Linked DNA regions of Xenopus tropicalis. The protein of the gene in region 1 purifies or fractionates together with the protein of each later gene. This does not show direct contact. Links are inferred from orthologs where the notes say so. Each region holds a gene or a part of one and is shown on either strand. Other genes may lie near its edges. The genes, in order: ccnt1 and larp7.

Region 1 (7,226 bases):
TTAATGTGTTTTTTTTTTTTTTATAACATAATTTTGCCAGGAGTACACAGAATCCCCAGTTTCAGGACTTGAGGGATTCCAAATCCTCCAGAAATGTACATAGTCAAACAGGTTAGTAATTCACCTGAACTATTAAAATTATCATCTTTAAATTCAGCTAAGAGAATTCAACACTCTTGGACCCCATATGGGAAATAAGATCAAAGAGAACTAAAATTTAGATTTGCTGGCCTAATTCATTTGTACTCATAGTTTAAATGTTTATTAGTTGGGAGTTATTAATTTAGATATTCTGATAAGTTTCGGCCAAATGATTCCCACACAGCACAAAGGTTCCTAAACTATTCCGTTAACACACCTACAATACCTCAGATCCTGTATTGGTATTTGGAGGTAGAAAAACCCCAAAGTAGCAAAATCACTCTGTCTTGTACTGTTGGTAAAACAATAAAGATGAATTAAAATTAGGGATGAACGGAATCCACTTTTTTGGATTTGGCCAAACCCCCAAATCCTAAAAAGCATGTGCTAATTAGGTTTTGGAAGGGTTAAATGTTGGACAATTTTGGAAAAATGTTCAACTTCCATATTTACATGATAAAAAGTCACGTGACTTTTTTTAGGATTTGGTTCGGCCAGGACCATGTATTCCGTGCATCCCTAATTAAAATACACCAACAGTGCTAGGGCACTTTCTAATATTTTTGTAAAACAACCTACCTCACTTCGGGTATCAGGTGCAGGTTCTAACGGGCTCAAGCATGCGTGTGCCACCCTGATTACATGCTCCAATTTCCGAGGCTGCTCTTCTACCTTTGCTGCCAAGAAGAGTGCAGCTGGTCCCACAGACTGCAAAGTACAAAATGACAGTATAAATACATGCATCCACTAAAATTCTGTGTTTTCATACATTTCCAGTAGACCAGTTCAGTCAAATGTATAGGATACATATGAACACAACAGCTGCCCCGTTGTTTAGTTTTTTTTTGTAGATGCAGTTATTTTCTTACAACTACAAAAGTGTGTCTTTTTAATTGCTAAGGTGTTTTGAACAGATCACTAAGCCAGAATAATGAATAACAATCATTATAAAAATATTTCCTCTTTCTATATAAACAAGATATCACTATAGGTACTGTATAAACCCTTTCCATAATGCTTAGGATACACTGGTGAACAGGTCAGTTTACTATTGTACACGCTGATGATAAATTCAACTAATCTGCAAAAGCATTCCATTCTGTTTATAAACTCCAGGCAATAACTAATTACAATAGCTTATGTAATTGTGATAATGTATATTGTTTTAATGATATGTAATTTTTCATGGGGAGTAAGTTGCGCAACACACGTTTGCTTAACAAAAGGATAATTTAGCAAAACAAGTATACGCACAATTAAGTTTACACTTACGTTACGGTGGAATCGAGTGAAAGATTGAACCATATAGAAACGATGCACATATACAATAGCTGTATTTATGGTCAGCTGTGATCTGTACAAGTAAAGCTAAGGAAAATAAGATTTTCATATTCACCCCTACCTATGTGGGAAAAATAAAGCACAACACCTTGACAGAAATATTAACTTTGTGAACAGGTAAAAACAAACTGTTGACCATTTTCTAACATAAATTGAATTTATATTAAAATTATTATATGGTTTTACATTAAATATTCTTTACATTGAGGCCACTAAATTTGAGGTTGTTAAATTGTACCAGTCCTTTTACCAACAGCAACCATGATCAATCTTTTTAAATGTTATTCAATCTTATAATTAAACTACGGTGGTATAATTAGCACTTATATAAATAGAACAGGCCCAGTTTATACTAACTCACCTGATGGAAACTTCTACCTTTGACTATATTTAAACTGAACTCTGCATTTTTTTTTTTTAATAATTAAAACGCCTGCAGTAAATAAGACAGCAAAACACAATACTAAGTCTTTTGCATTTACTTCTTTATTTTCACTGCATTTTAAATTAGGAATGTTTAAACTAGGGACCTTTGTATTCTGTAAATGTATAACTCCCAAATATCCCAGCTTTTAGCTGTGAAGTTTTAGTTTAAGAGGATCTAGATAGCCAGAAGCTGGACACACATGCAGAAAGAGGTGATCAGTTAATTATAAAGCAATACAATGTTATGGAGGTAGATACTTTACATCTCTGTGCTGACACAAAAACATGTAATCTCTTCAAGAACACAGGACACACCACAAAATATGCTTTATTGAATTAAATACACAACACATTGCAGACCCCAGTTTTATTTGACTGAGATTTTTGAGGGTGCCTTGTACTCTCAGAAGACACTCATGTTTTTAATGTCAAAGCACACGCCCCAAAAAGGTAACAACATATTCTTAAATGGTGTGTTTTTACAGGACTTTTAGGAACCAAGGCTTTTGCATTTAAATGCTTTGTAAAGGACCAGTAACACAAAAATATGTTAGTACTTAATTTACCCCAATACTGCTAAAGTTTACTTCCACAAAATGCTCCATAGCAGCATGGCAACAGGCATCTGTGTGAGCTGAACCAAAAGACAGCTTTGCACAGGAGGTCCTTCAGCATCTGCAGTTTAAATTTATGCTCACAACATTAACCTCCAAAGTTGTTCAAAGGAATAAAAATATAAATTTAAACTGCAGACACTGATAAAAAAAAGCTAAGTGCTGAAAGTCCTCCAGTGCTAAACTAACTTCCATTTCACCGAACAAGGGAAAGCAAGTTGCTCGTCACCCTGCTGCTATGAAGCATTATGTAAAATTCTAGCTGAAGTTTTCCAAAAATCCAAGGTGGAGTAAGCTTTGCCTATTACTGTAATAGTTTTGGGGTGAAACCATTAACATATTTTTATGTTACTGTTTCATTAATAGGGTTTAGTGATTTACCTCTATTTAAAATATATGGGCTCTGATTTACAAATATGGGAGGTAAACTGAACAAATGCAGGTTCTAAAAGCACAAAAATACCGGCACAACGGGACTTTAAGCGGGATAACCCCTGCTGATTTTCAATGCTGGTATTTTTGTGCTACTTGGAACGTGGTGGAGAGTGCTGAAGTCTCTATAAGTCCTGTGCACCAGGCGGAACAGAGTGGAAGACAGAGTTTACTGCAAGATAGAAAAGCAAAGACCTGATCAGTTGCCATCGGTAACTGCTTATACGCAAATTACAATATGTTATTAAACCAACCCTAGTCATCAAATACAAAAAGTTATGGCTAATAAAAACATCAGGTGAACAAATGGGTTTTGTATCAACATTAATACGGTTTGTTTACAATATACCATTTACTTCTTGCGCTTGTGTGAAGTAATACGATTCCTTGTACTTGTGACACTCTCTAGTCCCTTCCTAAAACAAAAGCGCCCTTTCACTTGCATTTCTATAGAACTAGGTTAGCCTCGGTGTAACACTGCACATAATATGCACCGTGACATTCTCTTCAACATCTATTCAGTTGGTAAGATTTAAAAAAGACAAGTCCACACACTCTGCTCGATAACTTCAATTATTCACCCCTCCAGCAAGGGATTGATTTAATAACAATATTAAGTGTATAAAAAGCAAGATGATGTAAAGCTGTACAAGTGACAGCCATTAGGCTCAGGACCGACCACAACTAATAACTCCTCCCCGCCAATCCCTGTCCGTAGGGCTAGTTATATAATGTGCCACATGCGGAGCCCACACACAAACAGGGGGCTAAAGCATTGCTCCCGCCCTACTAGTACTTATTCTACGGTAACGCTGTTGGCCGAAAGAGCACACACTAGGGCCTTAGTTTATCTCCCTCATGTAACACGAAGCCCATGTATTCTAGGCCTCCCTTTCGCCCAGGCCGGCGCTGCGGGCTGGGGAAGGATACACGTTGAGCCGCTGGCCCATATCTTGCAGGAGGTTTGCCGCCTGCTGCCGATACGAGAGCTCCTTATCGGCGTCCAGTCCAGCTCGCCGGGACGGACTGCGTTCTAGCTGCTCCCGGGTAAAATACCAGCGGCTCAATGGCGCCATGACTGTGCGGGCGAGGAGGAGCACGCATGGCAAACGGAATGACGTCAGAGCGCGTTTGCGTGAGTAGCGTAGTGGCCGTGGTGCATGCGTAGTCGGACGTAGGTGTTATTTTTCGGGTGTTTATGGAGTTCGAATAATGACGGCCTAAAAAACAATTGCTTCTTGGTTTGAATGTATTATAACAATGCAAAAGCCATGTTAAATGCACTAAGTCTCCCATATGTTTTCTTGGGTACAAAGAAAAAAAAAATATAAAAGGAAGGGCGCTTGAAAATAAAAGAATACATAGTTATAGGTGAGTCTAAAGCGCCAATAATTTTATTATTGAATTCACTTTCACTCTACAGGAGAATTTAGTTGGGGTTATTTATCAAGACTGGGAAAATTTCCACCTGGGCAGTAACCCATAGCGACCAATCAGTGAATAGATTTTTTTAAAGGAACAGTAATACCAAAAAATGAAAGTGTATAAAAGTAATTACAATATAATGTAGTGTTGCCCTGCACTGGTACAACTGGTGTGTTTGCCTCAGGAACACTATTTATATAAGTTAGCTGCTGTGTAGCCATGGGGGCAACCATTCAAAGGAGAAAAGGCACAGGTTACTTAGCAGATAACAGATAAACCCCCATTATATGGGGCTTATCTACTAGTTATCTGCTATGTAACTTGTGCCTTTTTTCCAGCTTGAATGGCTGCCCCCATGGCTACACAGCAGCTTATTTATATAGTAGCTTTTCTGTAGCAAAAACACCAGTTTTTTGCAGAGCAACAGCACATTATATTTTAATTACTTTAAACCGCTTTCATTTTTTGAAGTTACTGTTCCTTTAAGCCAGAGACAAATAAACAAATAAAGCATAGCCTTTATGAGCCTGGTTAAAAAATTATACTTGATGCTAATGTTATTAATAGGACAAAAAGATAAAAATATAGGAAGGTTTTTTTTTTTTTTGTAGAAAAGTTGGCAACCCTAGTCTCCATGCTAACTGCCCATGTGCAAATGTGTAGATAAATGAGCAAAGTGTCACAAAAGCATTACTCCTAATGGCCCATTTTTGTAGGACAGTCCCTGCATCTCCATACCTGTCATCTCTGATGCCCCAGACCCCAGAGTTACCCTTTTTTGGACCCTTCTCTCCCTCACTCCAAATCCGCCAATGCCCCCAGCAATGCATGTTAAGAAGTTGGCATCTCTGCACCTTGGGGTTTGTATTTCGCGGAAATTCAGCCATAATATGGTCACTGAGTATTCATGAATAGGAGAAGACCTGAATAGAAAAACAAATGATAAAAAGCAACAATAAAAATGTAGTCTCTTCAAGCAATAGTTTTTGAAGAAGTTAAATATTTCAAAAACTATCAAAAATATATAATGAACCAACTGAAATTATGTTTAGAATAGTCATAAAATGATCTTGAAGGGTCACATGGGCTCACAGGTTTCCAGTGTATGTGGGTTTCCTGGTCCATTAAGTGGTGCTATAGAAATACTTTCCTACACCCCATTCTCTCATTCAGCAGGCAGAATTAAAAAGATGCCCACTTTGACTCCACTTTTTATGCCCAGAGCCATTTCGGGCCAGGCTAGACCATATATGTGTGGCATCCGTGCTTGCACATATTTATTTTGAAATCCACTGTCTACGGTCATTTAACCTCTCCCATACCTGTTACTTAGTCAAACAGCCAGAATTGCAAAGATGCCCACTTTGATGACACTTTTCATGTCTTGAATTATTCTGGGCAAGGCTGGAACGAGCTGGATACTATGCTGGGCATCCCTGCCTGTACATAGATATTTGGAAATCAGGCCCAAAGTCAATTAACACTTACTTATTCACTGGCCTAAATAAGAAACTAATACCACTTTCATGTTTCTTGTTCATTTCAGGCCCAGCTGTAAGTACAAAGTTGGACTAGGGTGTGCAGGGCCCACCAGGACTGCCATCCTAGGGGCCCCCACAAACCCCAGGAGCCCCTAATGCCCACCCAACCCCCTCCCCCGAGTGTGCTTACATTATACTTAACTTCAGTGTGACTGGGGGAGGGATGTCAGTGGGGTACGCCAGCAGGGATTGGGTCTGGATCCTTGGCGCCACAAGTGCCAGGACATGTTTTTTTTTGCACAGTATGACCCTGGGGAAGCATATGCATAAAATGAAGGGAATCCCTGCCTGTGCCTCTATATCTGAAATCTGTGGCCCAAGGTCATTAAATTCTGTAAAACATTAGTTGCATACCTAACAGCTCAGCCTACAGTCCTGGATCCATTTTGAAAAGTTCTTCATTTTCCTTTGATCTCCTGCACTGAATGCCTAAAAAGATACAAAGTTTCTGAAACTTAATTTGATAAGTTGCTTTTGGCAGAGAGCCCAGAATACTCAACAGTCAACACCTGCATTTAGATACATTTGTAACTAGTAAGATAAACAGGTCTCTTGGGAGAACTAGCTGCTTATGGGTAAGAACCCACTTAGTGGCTTTGGGCAGGGTCGGACTGGGCTGCCAGGCCACCGGGAAAAAACGTCCCAGACCCGATCCCTGTTGCTGTTTCCCCTGGCTGCCAATATCCTCACTGGCATGATTCATTTAAGCCTGCTCAGGGGAGGACGTCAGTGGGGTGGCCCCTGCAGGGGGTTGGGGGGGAAGGGCTGGGGGGGTCCTGCACCCCCCAGTCCAACTACTCCCAAAAGGCTTTCCACTGGCAACAATAGGAGTCGCTGGTGGAAAGCCCTTCATCTTCATTAACAAAACTGTAAAAACACATCCCACAAAATCCCAGAACCTCCAGAAATGTGTTCAAACTTTACATAACCTGCCAAATGTATTAAAATGGGAGTGGTATTTTGTTGGAAGGTATGTAGTTGTTTCATGGATTGAATAAAACTGACCTAATGGAATTAAATTCTAGCATCCCAAAAGGTACCAGGCCTGAAACATTTCTATACTTTAGGAAAAAAAATCTATATAACAAAACTAAAAGTACAATAATAACAATTTATGTGGATCGCCTTCCAAGTAAATAAACTATACATAACTGCGCATCGTGTTACATACGCACAGTAAATCACCATACCCGTACGCAACTCACCGCCTGCCCCGTAATCTCCATGGTAACGGCGCTCAAAGGTTAGCTACCAGGAGGCGCGTCGCTATGGCAACCGCTGGACGCGCATAGGGCAGGATCGCTCA
Region 2 (7,161 bases), on another chromosome or scaffold:
GTGTGTGTGTAAGTGTCTGTGTGTGCTTGGGAAAGTTGTAAATAAGTGTGTATGTGTGTAAAAGTGTAATAATGACAAAGATAGAAGAAGAAATGGGAAAAAAAAAAAAAATTTTAGACAGTTGAGATAGAAATAAGCAAAATAAACAGTGGTTAGAGAGTTGTAGTTCAGCTTACACAATGCAGGCAGGCGATCAGGGCGACCAATCCAGCAGGAAGGCAGCAGGGGGGCTCCATCAGTCTCACGTGGCAGCAGAGTGAAGAGGCGACGGCGGGGGCGGCGACAATTAAAGGGACAGCAGTGGACACGTCATCAATGCGTGTCCACTGCTGTCATTGGCTGAGGGACCAGATCGGCGGCGCTGGGGGACCGGATCGGGAGTATGTCTTCATTCGCTCGTTGCCTAGGGGGTTGTGCAGGCTTTACAAGCGCTGCACTGCTTTAAAAGCGAGCGCAGCGCTTGTAAACCCGTTAGTGCTGTAGGACGTAGATTCTACGTTCTATGGCACTTTGGTCCCTTGGTACCTAGGACGTAGAATCTACGTCCTATGGCTATAAAAAGGTTAAAGTACATGAAATCCACAAACATTGCAATTGCTTGACAAGCGCTTATGTCAGCATTTGACAGGCAATAGTTCCTGAAAAAAAGCCACTGACATTATCCTAAATGGATAGCCATACTTTGGAGCATGTTTTGGTGATATGTATTTGTATAGTGGACTTTTCATGGCCTATTGTTGTTTCACTTCAACAGTTAATACATGTTTAAGCATTACACTTTATTGAAATCTTTATTGTGAGGAATGCAGATCACTGTTATACATGTGTGTTGACTTTATATGAAATTGACTCATGTATGTAGGATGGCTTTTTATGAAGAAATAAAAGCTCATTTTTAAATATGTTAAGGAGCTCCAGTGCTTCAGGAAGGTTTTCTATCTCCTATCCTATAGATGTTGTTTGGGGACACTACAGCATGTAGTAGCACTTAGGAATATGATTTTAGCTACTTATACCAAAGTGTAAGAGTAAAGTGATATGGCACAAAAAGGAAACAGGAATAACACAAAGTACTCACAGCCATCTCTGGTCTTCTCAATCTGTTCCCTCAGAAATCGATCCTTGTGCAGATTGACATCACCAAACCAGAAATCCACTTGCTTAGCAATGTCAGCAAGCAACTGCTTTACTCGTGACCGTTTCTTTTTTTCACGGTCTTTTCTCAAATCAGTACTCTCATCTTCTTTGACTTTATTGCTTGGGGTGTCAGTTTCAATCGCAGTCATCTTCTCTAAACACGGGAAAAAAAATAAAGTAATTGCATATTTAAAGGATTGTAGGGAACCTCAACATGCTGAATGATAATGTGACTTCATTATAATTAGCACAAAACTAATATTAAAAAGGTGCTATACTGATAAAGTAGCAAAATTCCTCTTTTTATATTTGCCAAGAAGTGTGGTAAGACTAACATCAAACGGAACAACATATGGCTTGCTGTGCAATATATAAATAGCCTGCACACATGAGTACATTTAAAAATGTAGAATGGAATACAAAGTTTGAAGCTAAACATTAAGCTAAACCAGTATCACATAGGCAGTTACACCGAGTCATTTTGCATTTGGCCTTTTTCTATGATCTGTGACCATTTGCTTGTCTAGTCTTCCCATTTCCAGTCTCACGCTTAAAATGATAAAATTATTTGGTTACTGGGTTCACTGACCAAACAACACCCACTTGAATATTGTGATAAAATGCTACTATGCCAGTAGTGTCACTTTAATGGAAAATAAAAGCTACATATAAGCAAGGTTTAACTTCAGTGTAACAGAATATTCAGAAAATACTCTCTCTGATTAACTGGATATCAGCATAAGAATTGAAGCACACCATTTTGCTTGTTATAACAGAAAATTCACATAGGCTAGGACAACAACAATCATTGTATATAGGACCCCTAGTGGTGATTTAGGAATAAGACAAATGCATATGTCTCTGAACATAATGAATTGTGTAGATATACAGGTATCTTCATAGACTGCATTAGGCTGCTGGTACAGTTTCAAGTCATTCACATTGACAGCAATGCTTTTCAGGAAAGTGTCACAGACTGTCAGCATGGAGTAAATGCCTGTGGAATTGCTAACTGTGGTGTCAGCACACTACAAAGTGTTGATTTGTAAAACTCTGTCAATGGATTATATATGAGAGTGCAAGCAATAGAGTAGCTCACAATTATAGGAATTAAAACAGATTAAAATAGATGTGTTTTTTTCTATATATGCTATTCCTCCAGTTTGTGACTCCATTAAAGGCAAAATAAATAGAAGGCAAGAAGTGAAATGTAATAAAAAAAAATGTATACCTTTGCACAAACAAATTTTCTTTGTGTGAATTTAATATAGCTTTTATGAACTCAAAAACTGCTCAGTGACCACTTCCACCAGTGAAGAAAGACTGCAAATATTGTCATTTGTAGTAGAGTCCTGCAGCAAGTCAGTATTAATGGTTATCCACAAAAAAAAGCAGTATTCTGCAGGTTGGATTTTCAGACACAGGGACAGGTTACTATTCTAGATTGCGTATCTTATATTATCTTTTATCTATTATGTTTTACTCTAAACATGTTTTACCCCTTCCCATTCTGATGATGTTGCTTCTGGTTTGCAGCAACAGCACTTTGGATTGGGTTGTGGATAAGGCAGTTGCAGGTCGGATTGAATGGCAGGTCCAAGAAGGTTAAAATGTGGGTTTGGGTTGCAGGTCCAGGTCTCAAAACTTGGTTCTGTGCAGGACTCTAGTTTGCACCAGTGCGCAATGTATACAATAAGACTCCTTACTGAAAAAGTTATTTTTGCTCCAAAAGATTACACCACCTTTAGGCATGCCTTTAAAGTGTGCTATGCACAATTAAGGTTTGCAATGCGATAACGGTCTAATGAAGACTATTACATTGTGAAACGTGAGTTTTTATTTTTATTTGTTCCTCAAACACTGCTAAGAAACAAAACATATTTACTTGAATCAAGTCTCTTTACTTCATTGAAACTAATATCAGTCTGATACTATGCTCCTCCCTGCTCAATAAAGGCCTTGCATTGTGTGCAGATTTGCTTCAGTGCATATTGAAATTAGATTTACATGTTAAGTAGAATGGTCAAAGTGCAAAATGAACTTGAATGACATCCACTGTGTGACTGGGGCTGTTTCCTGCTTGATTTACCAGAAAACTAAAAGCAGCAGAAAGTGGATGCTACAAGCAGCAAGTCTGACATCACTTTGAAGGATCTCCTGAAACATAGTTTTTAACTGTGCACCATCATGAATTGTTCACAGGTAGTTTGCTGTCAAAGGTACAATGGTTTGAACTTCTAATAGAATGAAGTGAAAAATATTTTTATTGTCACACAGACCTTGTTTACTTTGTATATACAATAATAAATAACTTTAGCTAGGAATATTTTCTTTTTCAAGAGAGAAGCCAATCAAATATTGCAACATTAATTTTGTTCTCCAAGAGTTATCCACCGTCTACTTCTCTTCAAAATCTAAAGGACATATACTGTGCAACTGGAATTAGACTCGCCAGAGATCATTCTTGACAAGGCATTCTGGATATTTAGAAAAGTTACAAATTAAAAACACGTCATCAAAACATATTTTTGGTGGTTCTCATCCCTCTTAGTTTTACAAATTAACAGATCTGAAATTTGTAGGTTAATAGTTGCTATTAAGGTGGCTATACACGTAGCAATAACGATCTTACGTGCAGGAAAGATCGTTCCCACCCTCCACTGATGTTCAGTGCTGAATTGTCAGATATGGAGGTAGAAACAATAGAAATTCTACCTCCTCCTGCCCTAAATGTAGATTTTGCTTGGGCACCTTCAGTGGCATGATAAATATACCCCTTGGTGTACTCCAGTCTTTAGAGGTTCTCATTTTAAACATTCCCATCAGTGGCGGTGTACATATTTACCATGGTTTATCTAAGAAATACTGCTATATGTAGACTGCACCTGTACAGTTTGTATGGCTGCCATAACTTTGCAGGTAAAAATTATAATTCATAGCAATGTGTTAAGTAAGAAAGACTGAAACAGTATGGGTAAGGCCATTCTTAAAGAAAATATCATCCATATATTTTTTAAAAAGTGTTCTTGCACAATGACAGAAAATGCAATTGCAGGCAAATTTCCAACATATATCAAGTTTTTTTTTTATGTAATTACAATTGAAAGCAGTATTTCTTTAATCCTCTTTTGTTCTCTGATTATACATTTATAACTCTGTAGCCGTCATTTCTTCTCCAGGGGGTATATTTATCATGCTGTGTAAAAAGTGGAGTAAAGGATTACCAGTGATGTTGCCCAGGGCAACCAATCAGCAATTAGATTTCAACTATTATAAAACCAAAGCATCTGACTGGCTGCTATGAGCAACATCACTGGTAATGGTTTACTCCACTTTTTACACAGCATGATAAATATACCCCTAGGTCTATTATAATCAGCTCACTTTTGCTACTCAGTGAGAATTGTTAATAAATGGACAAGAAAAAGTTGTTTAGAATGACATTTTCATACATTATGCACAAAACAATGTTTGGTTGGAGGACCCAGTGAATGTGGGGCGCCCAGCCTACACTTTATCCTATTGCTAACCCATGTGCACCAAGTAACCCCAACAATCGCTTATTTCACGATAGCAGCATTGCCAACAATATAGAGAACAAGCACACGCCACTACATTACCAGCTCCGGATAACTTCGCATGTCATTCGGGATTTAGGTATAGAAACACGCAGTGGATGAGCTTCACGTCATCAGCCGAGCGACACATAAAATTTCCAGATCAACCAATCAAGATGCAGCGCTTTAGAGGCTGCCCCGTAGCTGCCTGCATCACCATGGAAACGAACCGGCGTCCAAGGTATGGGATAGGGTTCAGGAAGTTCGTGGGTGCTTGTAAGAGCAGTTGGCAATGACTGTGACAAAAAGTACAATTTACAACCATCAAAACAAAGACTGCAAAAAATATTAAAACAAATACACGTTAGTGGCTTTGGCGCATTTTTATGACGTCAGAAAAAGCGCGATTTGTTCGAAAGAACAAGGTGGGAGATGGAATGTTTATGTTTCTGATGACGGCTGGTAAGGCAGACAGAGGAAGAAGCGGTGGTAATATGTTTTGCGTTCCCAAAGATGTCAACAAACCCCGTGATAATGATATTGGATATGTCAAAAACCTTAATTCCTCTTAACTAGGAATAGTAACTTGAGAGAACCTGTTCAGTCTAACTTAAGCCTGATTTAATCTCTCTAGCATGGCTGCCTGTTAAGCAAAGGATAGCTTACAAAATCCTTCTGCTAACATTCAAAGCCCTTCACTCCTCTGCTCCTCACTACATTTCTTCACTGGTCTCCCTGCATATTCCTGGTCATCTCCTCCGCTCCTCTCAGAGCCTCTGTCTTTTTACACCATCCACACCCACTGCGCTCTCTCGTCTTAAACCTTTCTATCTCGCTGCTCCTTACCTCTGGAACTCTATCCCTGAATCCCTCCATAGGAAACACTCACTCTCTTTAAGATAAAACTATCTTCTGGAGCACTAAAACATGATTTTGCCTAGTTCTGCGCTTAAGGGCAAATGCCCATACCTGGTGCACTCTTACCTTCCAATTTGTGCCTGTATGTTACCCAACCACTTAGATTGTAAGCTCTACGGGGCAGGGACCTCCTTCCTACTGTGTCTATTGTATTTATTTTAACACTTGTCCTCCCTGTGTGTAATTTTGTATATTATAAGATTATACAGCGCTACATATCATTGTAGAGCTTTATAAAAAAAGTTATACATACATACCTTGAAGTAAGGTGTCAAAATGCCAGTGGGTAGGATGGTGCAGGATTAACAAATTAGTCTTGGGCTCTTTTGTTTGTTTCCTTCCGGGGCACATTGGGCTTGGAGTTTGTATGTTCTCTCCTTGCTTACATGGGTTTCTTCCCACATTCCAAACACCTTCAGACAGGGTAACTGGGTCCTGGCAACATTGCTGGTGCGTTTGTAAATGTGATAGGGATATCAAACTGTAAGTTCCACTGGGAATGTGACTGATCTAAATAATTTTTCATTTCTGTACAGCGCTGTATAAATCATATCTATATGTCAACACTGTATAAATCAGAAGAAGAATAATAGTGTAAATTTTGTTGTGGAGAAACAAAAAAGTTAAAAGTGAGAAAAACTACTGTGGGGGGTCACAGACTTTTAGCCACCTGTAGGCAGAACAATAAAATTTAACATTTGATTGGTTGTTGTGGGTTATTGCCCAGGTGTAAATGTGGCCACTTTTCAGAAGTAAGTCCCTAAGTGAGGAAAAATGGTTCTGTGAGCAGAGACAGATTATCATGGTTTCCATTCAATGTGTAATCAGATATGTCTGTGTAAAAAAAAAAAAATACAATCCTGGAAGTTCAGATATTGTTTATGTACCTTTTCTATATAAGCCCAACAGAATGTATTTAGCTCTTATATTGGTTATTAGTTGTTTTTGTGTGTTAAATTTATACACCCTATAATTGTACAACAGTGCAGAATTTGTTGGCATTTTATAAATACATGTTAATATCAATAATTAGTGCCAACTGTTTACATATGCTAAGAATAGACACACTGAAAATGGTATAGGAGCCATCTTGTGGAAGTTTTGGTAAGTGCAAATAGGATTGTAACAGTTTACCCTTAATAAAATCCTATTCCCACTTACATATTCATAAAGAAAACAGTAACACGCATTAACACATTTGGGCTGATTTACAACAAAAGTAGAGGTCACCCTTAAATACATGCAGTCACTCCTTATACATCCCTATAGTTAGTTTGCATAGCACCCATGTGTCCATCCTGCCTCTTTTCCTGAACCATGTACAAATTCAGTTGATGCAGGGGAACCCTGGACTTACTGCTACTTTAAAGTTGGGGAAATTTTAAAAGTTTCCACTGTGGCCTGCATCAATATGCACAGTGGATTTCTGCCTAAAGAATCTTGTACAGATTTGATCATTTTTATGCTGAGTGCTGGAAATTATATAATGCCTAATATTTAACCTGATTGGATTTGAATCACAAATGCAAGTGTTATTGCATTAGGATTG

The links.
Region 2: the proteins of ccnt1 (region 1) and larp7 purify together in Homo sapiens (affinity purification with mass spectrometry; 10 studies listed by BioGRID and IntAct, with this or other methods). This does not show direct contact. The link is inferred for Xenopus tropicalis from reciprocal best matches to the Homo sapiens genes CCNT1 and LARP7.

The regions. Positions count from the first base shown.
Region 1 is NC_030678.2:135,689,958-135,697,183, forward strand, and holds the start of ccnt1 (cyclin-T1), read right to left. Parts: upstream 4,057-7,226; 5' UTR 4,031-4,056; coding exon 3,885-4,030; intron 1,496-3,884; coding exon 1,414-1,495; intron 850-1,413; coding exon 721-849; intron 1-720. Other genes in the region: testis-expressed protein 49, read left to right, coding at 7,226-7,226. UniProt on the Homo sapiens protein: Regulatory subunit of the cyclin-dependent kinase pair (CDK9/cyclin-T1) complex, also called positive transcription elongation factor B (P-TEFb), which facilitates the transition from abortive to productive elongation by phosphorylating the CTD (C-terminal domain) of the large subunit of RNA polymerase II (RNA Pol II).
Region 2 is NC_030677.2:68,966,658-68,973,818, reverse strand, and holds the start of larp7 (la-related protein 7), read right to left. Parts: upstream 4,808-7,161; 5' UTR 4,758-4,807; intron 1,292-4,757; 5' UTR 1,287-1,291; coding exon 1,079-1,286; intron 1-1,078. UniProt on the Homo sapiens protein: RNA-binding protein that specifically binds distinct small nuclear RNA (snRNAs) and regulates their processing and function.